Linked DNA regions of Xenopus tropicalis. The protein of the gene in region 1 interacts with the protein of each later gene in a biochemical or structural test. Links are inferred from orthologs where the notes say so. Each region holds a gene or a part of one and is shown on either strand. Other genes may lie near its edges. The genes, in order: sumo1, rnf111 and usp25.

Region 1 (3,751 bases):
ATAAGTTAAAAGATACAATAGGATATAGTGATAATCAAAAACAGTTCGTTAAAACTAAAATGTTGGCCCTATTAGTTCATTAAAAAAGTGAACTAGGATAAATGAGGATGGTACAATAAATACGTGCATAAATAGTCATTTAAAAAGCTAAACGTATTTATTGTACCATCCTCATTTATCCTAGTTCACTTTTTTAATGAACTAATAGGGCCAACAATTTAGTTTTAACGAACTGTTTTTGATTATCACTATATCCTATTGTATCTTTTAACTTATGACTTGTATCTTTTTGTATTGATTTAATGATTAATTAAAATATTATAGAATTTTTACACTTGGTGGTATATTTTTTTAGCGCTAACTCCTTGTTATAATATTTATATATTCACTGTGAGGATTAGTTTGGAGGAAGGAGGCTATTTATGATATTCTATTCACTATTTGGGTAAGAGGATTGTTGTTGGGTAATTTAATTTGTTTTTTAGAATAATATTAGTCTTTCACGAACTACACATAAATTTATTAGAAGCGCGGGTAAGGTTTATTCACACAATTTTGATAATTATGTCTATTCTCCACCCACCCTATGCCTCGGTATCTGTTATTTAGTCTCTTCCCAATGTGTCCTCTAATATAGAGGCATCAGGGGCTCTCAAGGGATCAGATTGACAAGATAAGATAACCAATTTTTTTTTCATATAAGCAATTGTCTGTAATTTGGCTCATTCATTTAACCAGTTTATATAAACATTTGTGGTCAATTTCAATCATGCGACGCAACCAAAAAGGTTAAGAATCACCTACTAAAACGTCAAAAGCCACGTAAAGCCAGGTAAAGCCAATCTACTATGTAACGGGGCCTTTTAATGATGTGAGGCTGGCAGTGCCAAAGCCATTAGACGCCTACTATTAATGCTCGGCTTTGGAGAGGTTAATGCTCTATACAGAAAAAACACTGGATATCAATGGTTAAAGGCTGACGTTCGCATTACAATATGGACACAAAAGCGCCACCTAGTGCTCAGCGTCTGTGCAAGCGCATACCCCTACCATTTGCCGCAAGCCGCAGCAGTGCGCGTCAGCAAAATGTGGGCGGTGCCGCATGTATCGGAAATGAGGTCATTCCCAAGAACCGGAACACCTTCCTTGTCTGGTTCTCTTGTGCTGTTATTGTGCCCGGAGGAAGGAAAAGCGTAGAGCGGTCCAGTGTAGCGAACCGATACCGGCCGAGAGCAGTTAGCATGTCTGATCAGGTGAGACACTTTTGTGGAGTGGGCGGGAGAACGAGAGAAAGTCTCTGGGACGTGTGTGTCTTGTTTTGTGTGTCTGGAGACCTGCTTGTAGATGTAAACAAGTAGGTCTCATGGCTACACATTAATATGCAGCTAAAGTAGTACATGCGGCCCATAACCAAGGGCGGCAGCTAAGTCATTTACTTTCATTTTATACGACACTTAGACTATTAGAGCTGGTTGCTATGGGTTTCTGCTGCTGTGCACTTTTGCTGGATAAACTGCTCTATAGGACCCACACCCCGTTGTGTGTCGTGTAATTTGCTTTATGTCTTATTGTCCAGTATGTGTATCTTCTCCTGTAGATGTTATTATCTGTGAGTAATTGCCCAGTGGTGGTTGGCGAAGTGAGAGGCCTAACAGGAAAGCCAGAGATATATTGGCCCATATAGTTATTTGACCTATATAAAGTATATATTAACCTAACAAGTTTCAGCAGCTTTAGCCTTATGGGGTCTCACACAGCATTGATTTGTTACAGTAGGGTAAATCTGTTAGCCTGGAAGAGCTCAAAGCATTTCAGAACTATCAGGTACATAAATTAAGTCTATTTATGAGCATCCACTAAGTGTTTGTAGATACATTATTATGTTTGGTTGAAAATATAACAATCGCGTTTAACCCTTCCAAACAAACACCGCTGCACACGTATACACATGTTAATTTAATTGTAGTGGTAATTCCCATTACCCAGGGGAGGTATCATGTTAAGCTGTGTGTAGGTATGTGGGAGTTAACGATTGATCTCTTGTAGTACACTCTGCTTGTTTATATTGTATGTAATGTTCAAGCACATCTTGTTTTCTTGCATGACTTTCATAGTTTAGGATCCCAATCTTATCTTTAATGCAGCCACCTAAAGGGTGACGGTTTAAACATTCAAGTGGACTACAGGCCAAAATGATTAGATCCCTGTGATGTTGGGCAGTACCAGCTAGTCCTGTCACTTCAAACTTTGCTGATGCCGCATTCATGTGGGCATGGGGACCACTGGGAGCCCCAAATTTCTGTCTGGCCCAATTAAGTGCACTTTCAATGGTGCGACGGATTAAATACCAGTGATGCACGCAGATGTTTCTGTTGAAAGCTGTTTTTCCCATTATTGGTATTTATTGCCTTACATTTAGGGCAACATTGCGTACATGCATTTGTGTCAAATGTATATCACTCTGTTATTTTGTATCTCAGTCTGTGGGTATGTGTGAACAAGTATTCCCATTTCATCATACACCTCTAAAATAGTGTCTGAAAAGTTGCTTTTTGTACAGCTTTACTGAAAAAAAATTTAAATACTTTGCTAGCACCATTGAGCAATTCCATTCACTGCTGGGTGCTTTTCCAAGATGTGCAGAAGAGTTAGTAGGGCTCCTAAATTATCTCTGCAAGTGTAATTTCAGTCTCTAACTTCCGCGCAGTTAGTTGTGTGTAAAACCACTTTCATTTGAGGTACGTAAGTGAAAATGCGCTTCTTAAAGGACAAGGAAAGTCGAAATCTATTAAGCACACTATTAAATAGTACTACTATTGCTGTGTAAAAACGCTATATTTCTGGCTTGCCCAATGAAATATTTACAGAGATACACATACTAGAACTTACATACTTGTTTCAGTGAACGGCGCCGCCATCTTGTCCAGCATGTCTGTATGGGCTATTGCTGAAAAGCACAAGCCAGCCCCCCTCCGATCCCCTCACCTGCCACAAACCCTCCACCGCTCCCCGCTTCTGCCACAACCCCCCCCCGCTTCTGCCACAACCCCCCCCCCGCTTCTGCCACAACCCCCCCCCGCTCCTGCCACAACCCCCCCCGCTCCTGCCACAACCCCCCCCTGCTCCTGCCACAACCCCCCCCTGCTCCTGCCACAACCCCCCCCTGCTCCTGCCACAACCCCCCCCCGCTCCTGCCACAACCCCCCCCCCCCTGCTCCTGTCACAAACCCTCCGCCGCTTCCCACTCCTGCCACAAACCCCCCGCCGCTCCTCCCACCTGCCGGCTCTGCATGTCACAAATGCAGATGCATCACTGCATATCAACTCCCCCGGCTCCCCGCTCCTGCCACAAACCCTCTGCCGCTCCCCCCACCTGCCAGGTCTGAATGTCACAGAGCAGAGTTCTCCTGTCGGCTGCGTCGCCATGGCAACCAGACGCTCCTGCTGTGTGCGCATGCGCTGCCTACAGTCCCAAGTTGCCAAGTCTGGGCAGGAGCGTTGCATTATGGGAATCTTCTCTACCCTGCTCAGCGTTTTTTTTTCCTGTTTGGCTTCTGATCTTCTGAACAGGTGAAGTATGGGGAGACTTAAGGGCACTATTGAGTCAACTGAAGGTATGCCTGCAGTTTGGGATTAACTCTTTATTAGCCTTTCCTTCTCCTTTAAACTTTAATGTAGGTGTGCTTGGCACAGCTCAGTCCTTCCTGTCTTGTGAACTAAGGCACAACACAATTGCACCAAGCACATTGAC
Region 2 (3,651 bases), on another chromosome or scaffold:
AAAGGTAAACCATCAAAGTAGCCAGACAGGTGGGGGGGCCACACAGAAGGGTGTCACTGGCCACCAGTTGAGCTCTCTGGTTGATTCCTTTCATTTTTTGATCCTTTATTTTGAAAGTGGCGACCCCATACCACTGTACAGAAAGCTATTATACAACACTTAGGGCTCTGGCACACGGGGAGATTAGTCGCCTGCGCAGCGTGTGCCATCCCACCGGCGACTTATATTGTCGCCGGTGGGATGGCAATTCGGGGAGATTAGTCGCCCACGAACAGGGAGATTTGTCACGGGTGACTAATCTCCCTGTGTTCCAGAGCCCTTAACTGCAGTAGTCCCTGTGGATATTTGTGACTGATACACCAGTTGGACAGCAATGATCTATGCTATGCTTTGTCAGTGCTGTCCAACTTCTGTGGTACCGAGGGCCACAATTTTTCCGACCTCCGTGGTGAAGGGCCGATAATGGAAGCTAGTTTTGACCACTCCCCTTTTTTAAAACCACACCCACTTGATACCACACCTATTATCGCATGACCATAGCCATATTAATGGTGGTAGTACAGCAAAAACCTGCCATACTCTGCCTTCCCTACCCTGCCTGTGTGTGCCATACTCTGCCTTCCCTACCCTGCCTGTGGGTGCCATACTCTGCCTGCCTTACCCTGCCTGTGTGTGCCATACCCTGCCTGTGCAGTACCACCACAGTATATGTTCTTTTTATAGTGTGCAAGGTTTATTTGTGGGTTTCTACTGCTCCTATAGTCTGAGGTGTGAACAATGTGGGTGATTACAGCCTTAGCCTGAGGTGTGGACACTGCAGGGGGTGAATAATGCAGGGATTAAAAGGTGTGAACAACACAGTGGATTACATTTTTAAACAATACACAAAGGTAAGCCATCAAAGCAGCCAGACAGGTGGGGGGCCACACAGAGGGGGGTCGTGGGCCGCCAGTTGGACAGCCCTGCTTTATGTTAACTGGCAACATTGAAGCAGCATCCAGAGGCAATCCAGAACGAATGGAAGCCACCCACCTCAAAACAGCAAAGACATTTGATCACAGTTCTATCAAGGGCTTTCTTCAGTGTTTTTTTTTTTTTTTTTTACCCTTCAAGCTTTTTTTTTTTTTTTTTTTTAATCCAAATCTTTACATTCCAGTATTTGGCTGGTACTGTTCTAAGCTCACAATGGTGCTACTGATATATAGTATTAGGTCAGAGCCTAAGGACAGCAAAGAGATGTTTGCCCCAAATCTCACCCGTATTGAGATAACCCAGGCCTGTGTGACATTTAAAGAAATGGAGCACTGGCCTGGTGTTTAATCATAGTGATTGTAAGGCTACAGCCAGAAAGGGCTGATTCTTGGCCTGTGGAGAAACGCAGGCCAAGAATCTCTCCCAACTGCCTTTTGATGTGCCTGAGAAACTGCCTCGACCTGGGTGCAGACATACCGTGAGGATTTCTGCGGCAAAATGCATACTCATGCATTTAGGTACCAATATCTGCTCTGTGCCTGCACGTGGGCCTGGGCAGTGGCTCGGGTGCAGGCACAGCCAAAAGCTGATTGTCTGACAGGACTGATCGTCGACCTGCATATATCCACAGGCTGAGTATCAGCCCCGGGTTGCTTAGGCCTTATCACTTGGAGTTCTTAACACATTGGCACCTTCCAATGATGTACACTTTCCCTGTGTTTTATTCCTTGCTTTACTTCTATAAAACATATACTATATATGTAAATATATAAATATTTTTTTTTTCAGCCCACCTTGAAATCCGTCTGCTAATTTGTGATGTTCTAAACATATGAATCTTTTTGAAAAGCGGATATGAAGAGTGAGGTTTCTTCAGATGCACCAAAGAGACAGGAGAACCTTAAAGGGGTGCTCCTGAACCCAGAGGCTATTGGGGCCTCTAAGAGCTTTCCAAAAGAAGTGGAAATGATTGCCAGCAAAGTCAGCAATGAGTTCTCTCACTTGTGCAGTGATACCAATAAACAACAGAGAGACTTGAATAGCAATGGAACTGAGCAAGAGAAAAACCTTGTGGTTCATAAAAAAAGGAAAAACCAGCAGGCTGGCACATCTTATGCTCAAAGCTGTGAGGTTAAGGAAAACCAGAGACTGTTAAGGCTTCAGCCTCAAAGTGATGAGGACAATGATTCTTCTTTTAGTGACTGTATCTCTTCTCCTTCATCAAGCTCACATTTCGGTGACTCGGACACTATGACTTCTGATGAGGACAAAGACAACCCTCGAAGGTATTCTCCTGCAGGTGTAAATGCTACTCCTAGAACTCAGAGTGCAAGGGCCCAGAAGTGGCCCCGTCCTCACACAGACTCTGTATCTAGTTTGGTTATGAAGCGGCCTTGCTACCAAGTCAGTTCTCTGAGGAGGCCTCTGCACCGTAAAAGATTTGTGAAAAATGTCTCTTCCCAGAGAACACAGAAACAAAAAGAACGTATGATGTTACAGAGGAAAAAGAGGGAGGTGCTTGCCAGGCAGAAGTACGCCTTACTTCCTAGCTCGAGCAGCTCTAGTGAGAATGATCTTAGCAGTGAATCTTCCTCCAGCTCCTCCACTGAAGGAGAAGAGGACTTATTTGTGTCTCCTGGGGAAAATCACCAAGATGGTACAACTCTTCCTTCAGGTAAGGAACAAGTCCTATATCAACTTTTCGGTGTTTGATTTTTAAAAATGTCTTCATGTATATTCAGTAGTTCCTTATATATGCTAACAAAGCAGTCTTAGAAATGTGGCTCTGCAGGTCCCATGAGCGTCACTGTCATTGTTCAGCTTAGAGGTGTAGACCTGTATTATGGCTTAGCAAAATTAACTTTTTTTTTGTGAATCTATTAGATCTTTTTGGGAGGATAAATGTAAATGTTATCAATTAGAATATTGAAAGTTTGGGTTTTCAACAGGTTTTTTTTCCCACAGAATTTTCACCCCCTTCATCCTCAGTTTGCCTAAGGGTTTAATACTGTTTGTTTTTCTGTTTTTTTATAACATAGCTATCAAGCAATGGAAGCTGCTAGGCATGATTAAAACAGGGATTTAACATTTTAGTTTCCTCCATCTCTGGGTATTGACATCATTTAGTAGCACAGTGGCATGGATGTTGCTGCCTTGCAGGGTCATCGTTTGATTTAAGCCAGGGAATTATCTACAAAATGTGTCCATATTTTACCATCCAAATACACTGTAATAGTTTTATTGGCTCCTGATACAATTGTCCATAGTGTGTGTTATTGGTTGCTTAGATTGTAAGTGCCACTGTGTCTGGGATCAGTGCTGTTTCATCCATAAGGCAAGGGTACATACAACATTTGTAATTGCTCAAAAGGCCTGCCACTGGGGGTCATTTATCAACACTGGGTTAGTTTGCCCGTTGACAGTAACCCATGGCAACCAATCAAATTGTTGCCTTCATAGTCCTACCTACAGCTGGCTAAAAAAAGTCAATCACTGGTTGCCATGGGTTATTACCCACAGGCAGAGTTGCCCAGTGTTGATAGACGAGCCACCGTTTTTTCACACATACATGAGATTTAACTGATAAGCCCACAGTGATTTAAATTTGCTGCAATGGTGGGCATTATAAGGGCGAAGACACACGGGGGCCAATAGTTTCTGCAACTTTTTAAAAAGTCG
Region 3 (3,751 bases), on another chromosome or scaffold:
CTTCCAGTGACTGTCAGTGTATGTGAGGGTAAGGACCGTATCAGGGCGGGTCCTACAATGACTGCATGTGTGAAGGGCGTGAGTAGAGAAATGCGAAAGGCTGGAGGCGTACGGTGTCCGTCTTAGGACTTTTGTCTGAAAATGCAAAGTCCCGCTCTCTGCCACTCTACGCCTCCCTCGCTGTTGGTGTTCATGTCTATGCGATCTCCTCTGTGTGCTGGCAGGCCCCCCATTCATTCGTCTCTTATGCCATCTGCTCTTACTTTCCCCTGACAGCTCCCAGTTTCCCCCTTTCATCTTCCTCCCTGCGATGTCATTCTTTGTCCCTCCTCTTCCGCCATCATTCTTACGGGCAACAGAATTATTCTCTATCCACCCTACTCTCATCCCACAGACCTGCCCCTAGCAACGTCACCTGTGAGGCCCTCCTATATTTCACTTTCCAACACACACACTCTGGTGTGCTTTATCAGCTTATGTTATTTTCTCTTACCCTCAGCCGTGTGGTGTCGGCTTTACCTAGTCCTGCCATTTCAGCTGCACATTTATTTTCTTCAAAAACATTTGTACTTGGGTGGAATAATGGCGCCCACACTCTTTTTAAATGCATTAGATTAATAAAGCAATCGCTATACAAAATGTAATGATCACGCAGTGTTGCTGGCAAAGAGATCTTTTTTCTTCTAATTTGGATACTCTCATGTATTGTTAGAAAACCATTTGTTCGGAAGCAGCAGGGAGTTGCACATGGCTGATATACGGCTAAGGCACAATGCAGATAGAGAATAGATATAAAAGAAACGCTTATAAACTAGAGCGTTTGTTTGGAAGTAGGAAGGCGTCATGGCTGACTTCAGAACAGGGGGCGGTGCGTTGGCTGAGAGAGCCGGGCAGAATGAGCACAAACCATCCCGCAGCCCTTAGGAAGAATGGAGGAAAGCTGGCTGTGACGTACTGGATGATGTCGTAGGGTGGAATGCCCAGGATGACGTAGTAGGGAGGAGGAGGATGAATGGGGAAGCTGGGACCTGTCAGGAAAAAGTAAGAGGAAATCGCATAAGTGAAATGGGAGGGGGGAATGGGAGGAGGATAAATGGGGCAGGCGGGACCTGTCAGCACAAAGTAAGGGGAGATCGCATAACTGTTACCAGCAGTGGGGGAGGCGCAATAAAGATTTCTTAGCAATAGAGAGATTTTACAGGGGAAGAGGGCAAGACGCACTTTTTGGCGCATAGATGTCCTAAAATGGACACCGTACTGGGGAGAGACGGGCGGTGGCGGCCGTAGAAGCAGCAGTCGCACTGGGAGCCGGGCACTGTCGGCCTGTGGATATACCATAAGGCTTGGTACATCCCCCCGCAGGCTGCTGGCTCATGATCCCGCCGGGCTGAGCTGATTCGCAGTCACTCGCCAGTTCCCGTCCCGGGATCCCAACAGCAGCGGCAGAAGGAGGAGGATTTATCTGGGCCATGACCGTGGAGCAAAATGTCCTGCAGCAGAACTCCCAGAAGGTAAAGAGCCGCGCTGGCTGCACCCAGGGGCGTAACTACCGGCCAGCAGAGCTGGGGACGGGGCACGGACGGTGGGCTCTTCTGCCTGGAGGTCATCTATCCCTGCCGGGAGCAGTGGCTGGAGAGGGGGAGAGACTGCCGGGATCGTGGAAGATTCTTTTTTGGGAGGGGGGTGGGGTGCTGTCTATGCCTGATATACCGGTGCCTGCATGGCCGTGTGTCCCTGGCTGCCTGCCTTGCACCCTCCTTTGTGCATGTTCATGAGCATTTGTGCGCCCTGCATTCTGCGCCCCTGCGCCCTGCATTCTGCGCCCCTGCGCCCTGCATTCTGCGCCCCTGCGCCCTGCATTCTGCGCCCCGCATTCTGCGCCCCTGTGCCCCGCATTCTGCGCCCCTGCGCCCCGCATTCTGCGCCCCTGCGCCCCGCATTCTGCGCCCCTGCGCCCCGCATTCTGCGCCTCTGCGCCCCTGCGCCCCGCATTCTGCGCCCCTGCGCCCCGCATTCTGCGCCCCTGCGCCCCGCATTCTGCGCCCCTGCGCCCCGCATTCTGCGCCCCTGCGCCCCGCATTCTGCGCCCCTGCGCCCCGCATTCTGCGCCCCTGCGCCCCGCATTCTGCGCCCCTGCGCCCCGCATTCTGCGCCCCTGCGCCCCGCATTCTGCGCCCCTGCGCCCCGCATTCTGCGCCCCTGCGCCCCGCATTCTGCGCCCCTGCGCCCCGCATTCTGCGCCCCTGCGCCCCGCATTCTGCGCCCCTGCGCCCCGCATTCTGCGCCCCTGCGCCCCGCATTCTGCGCCCTGCATTCTGCGCCCCTGCGCCCTGCATTCTGCGCCCCTGCGCCCCGCATTCTGCGCCCCTGCGCCCCGCATTCTGCGCCCCTGCGCCCCGCATTTTGCGCCCCTGCGCCCCGCATTCTGCGCCCCTGCGCCCCGCCCACATGGGCTCTGCACCAAGGCTCACATTTCCAACCAGCTACACTTCTGTGCATATACTAATAGCGCAACAGCCAGGGGAATTCTGGGAGTTGGAGTTCTGTGTGTACAGGTTCCTGTGTCAGGGGCCCCCAAAATCTTAGTGCATCTGTAAGGGCACCTTTCCCTTGCAACAGCTGCTTAACAGCATCTTCCTTGGGTTAGGGGATGCTGGGATTTGTAGTCTTGCAGTATTGCCTATTGGGCATCCAATTTATACCTTCTCCTTGTAGTGACTTATCTTCCAGTAAAGTGGAAGCTTCCTGTCAGAGGCTGTATTTATTGGATACCCAAAATCTTCCTTGGTCTAGTAAACACACCCTTATTGCGCCTATGCTGCTGCTTTATGTAACGCTTGGTTGCCTTCAGCAGCTGCAGACTACAATTCCCAGCATTCACTAACAGTTATAGCTGATATGGCCCGCTGGGAGTTGTGGTTCTGCAGCTACAAGTTATATGTATGTAGCCCCTCTGTATCTTGTCATATAATACATCAGGTCCATATGATTATTAGCAGGATTTCTGCTGGTGTCAAATACCCCCTCGCTCCCTCAGCAAACTGCCAGGCCTTGGCTAATGTGTGCATTCCATCAGTGTCCCTCTATGCAGTGTATATTGCAGTAGCTTTCTGCGTATTAATAAGAATTCACCCCTTTAATGTGTTTGGGTGAATCCAGCCATTTGCCCGTGTTTCCCTACTCATCCCTGGAAGGGGAGACAAGCCTGACCCCAGCCTCTCTCCTGTGGGCTGCCCATAGTACTCAAGCTCCTGGTCTGGAAGCCTAATCCTGGTGCGGAGGGGGTGGGGCACCCCTGTCATTCCCAGTCTGTAGTGGTCTCGGATCAGTGTTACCAGCATCCGCTTAAAGTGTGCAGTTCATGTGGGGGGCTGTTCAGTACATTCAGGGCTGAGTCGAATTCTTTGAAAAGCTAAAGCGGAACATTTTTACAATTCATGACTGGGTGCTGAGTCTGTGCTGCTCACCCAGCACCCGGTTAGGTGCTCTGTCAGTTCATAAATATTTACACCCTTTTGTGTGCGGTTCATTTTGCATAAATTGGAATAATTCTTCCTGAACGCTGCTATGTAGTTCTGCCTTGTGGGAAGGAAAGGCAAGATGCCGGTACATTTCATACCAGTCAGAATGTTTGTTCTGTATTTAAACACCAACATGCCATGCTTCTCTCCGTTACTGGGTAATTCTGCGCATTCAGGTGGAACTGCCATACTATTGTTTCTATCCATTCTTGTGTCTGAAGAAGAAGTCC

What was found.
Region 2: the proteins of sumo1 (region 1) and rnf111 form a complex in vitro, tested with the Homo sapiens proteins (3 studies listed by BioGRID). The link is inferred for Xenopus tropicalis from reciprocal best matches to the Homo sapiens genes SUMO1 and RNF111.
Region 3: the proteins of sumo1 (region 1) and usp25 form a complex in vitro, tested with the Homo sapiens proteins (2 studies listed by BioGRID). The link is inferred for Xenopus tropicalis from reciprocal best matches to the Homo sapiens genes SUMO1 and USP25.

The regions. Positions count from the first base shown.
Region 1 is NC_030685.2:52,313,482-52,317,232, reverse strand, and holds the start of sumo1 (small ubiquitin-related modifier 1 precursor), read left to right. Parts: upstream 1-1,137; 5' UTR 1,138-1,241; coding exon 1,242-1,253; intron 1,254-3,751. UniProt on the Homo sapiens protein: Ubiquitin-like protein that can be covalently attached to proteins as a monomer or a lysine-linked polymer.
Region 2 is NC_030679.2:99,178,459-99,182,109, forward strand, and holds part of rnf111 (E3 ubiquitin-protein ligase arkadia), read left to right. Parts: exon of another isoform or gene 1-4; intron 5-1,761; 5' UTR 1,762-1,827; coding exon 1,828-2,647; intron 2,648-3,651. UniProt on the Homo sapiens protein: E3 ubiquitin-protein ligase. Required for mesoderm patterning during embryonic development. Acts as an enhancer of the transcriptional responses of the SMAD2/SMAD3 effectors, which are activated downstream of BMP.
Region 3 is NC_030678.2:27,028,028-27,031,778, forward strand, and holds the start of usp25 (ubiquitin carboxyl-terminal hydrolase 25), read left to right. Parts: upstream 1-1,212; 5' UTR 1,213-1,469; coding exon 1,470-1,511; intron 1,512-3,751. UniProt on the Homo sapiens protein: Deubiquitinating enzyme that hydrolyzes ubiquitin moieties conjugated to substrates and thus, functions in various biological processes including inflammation and immune response.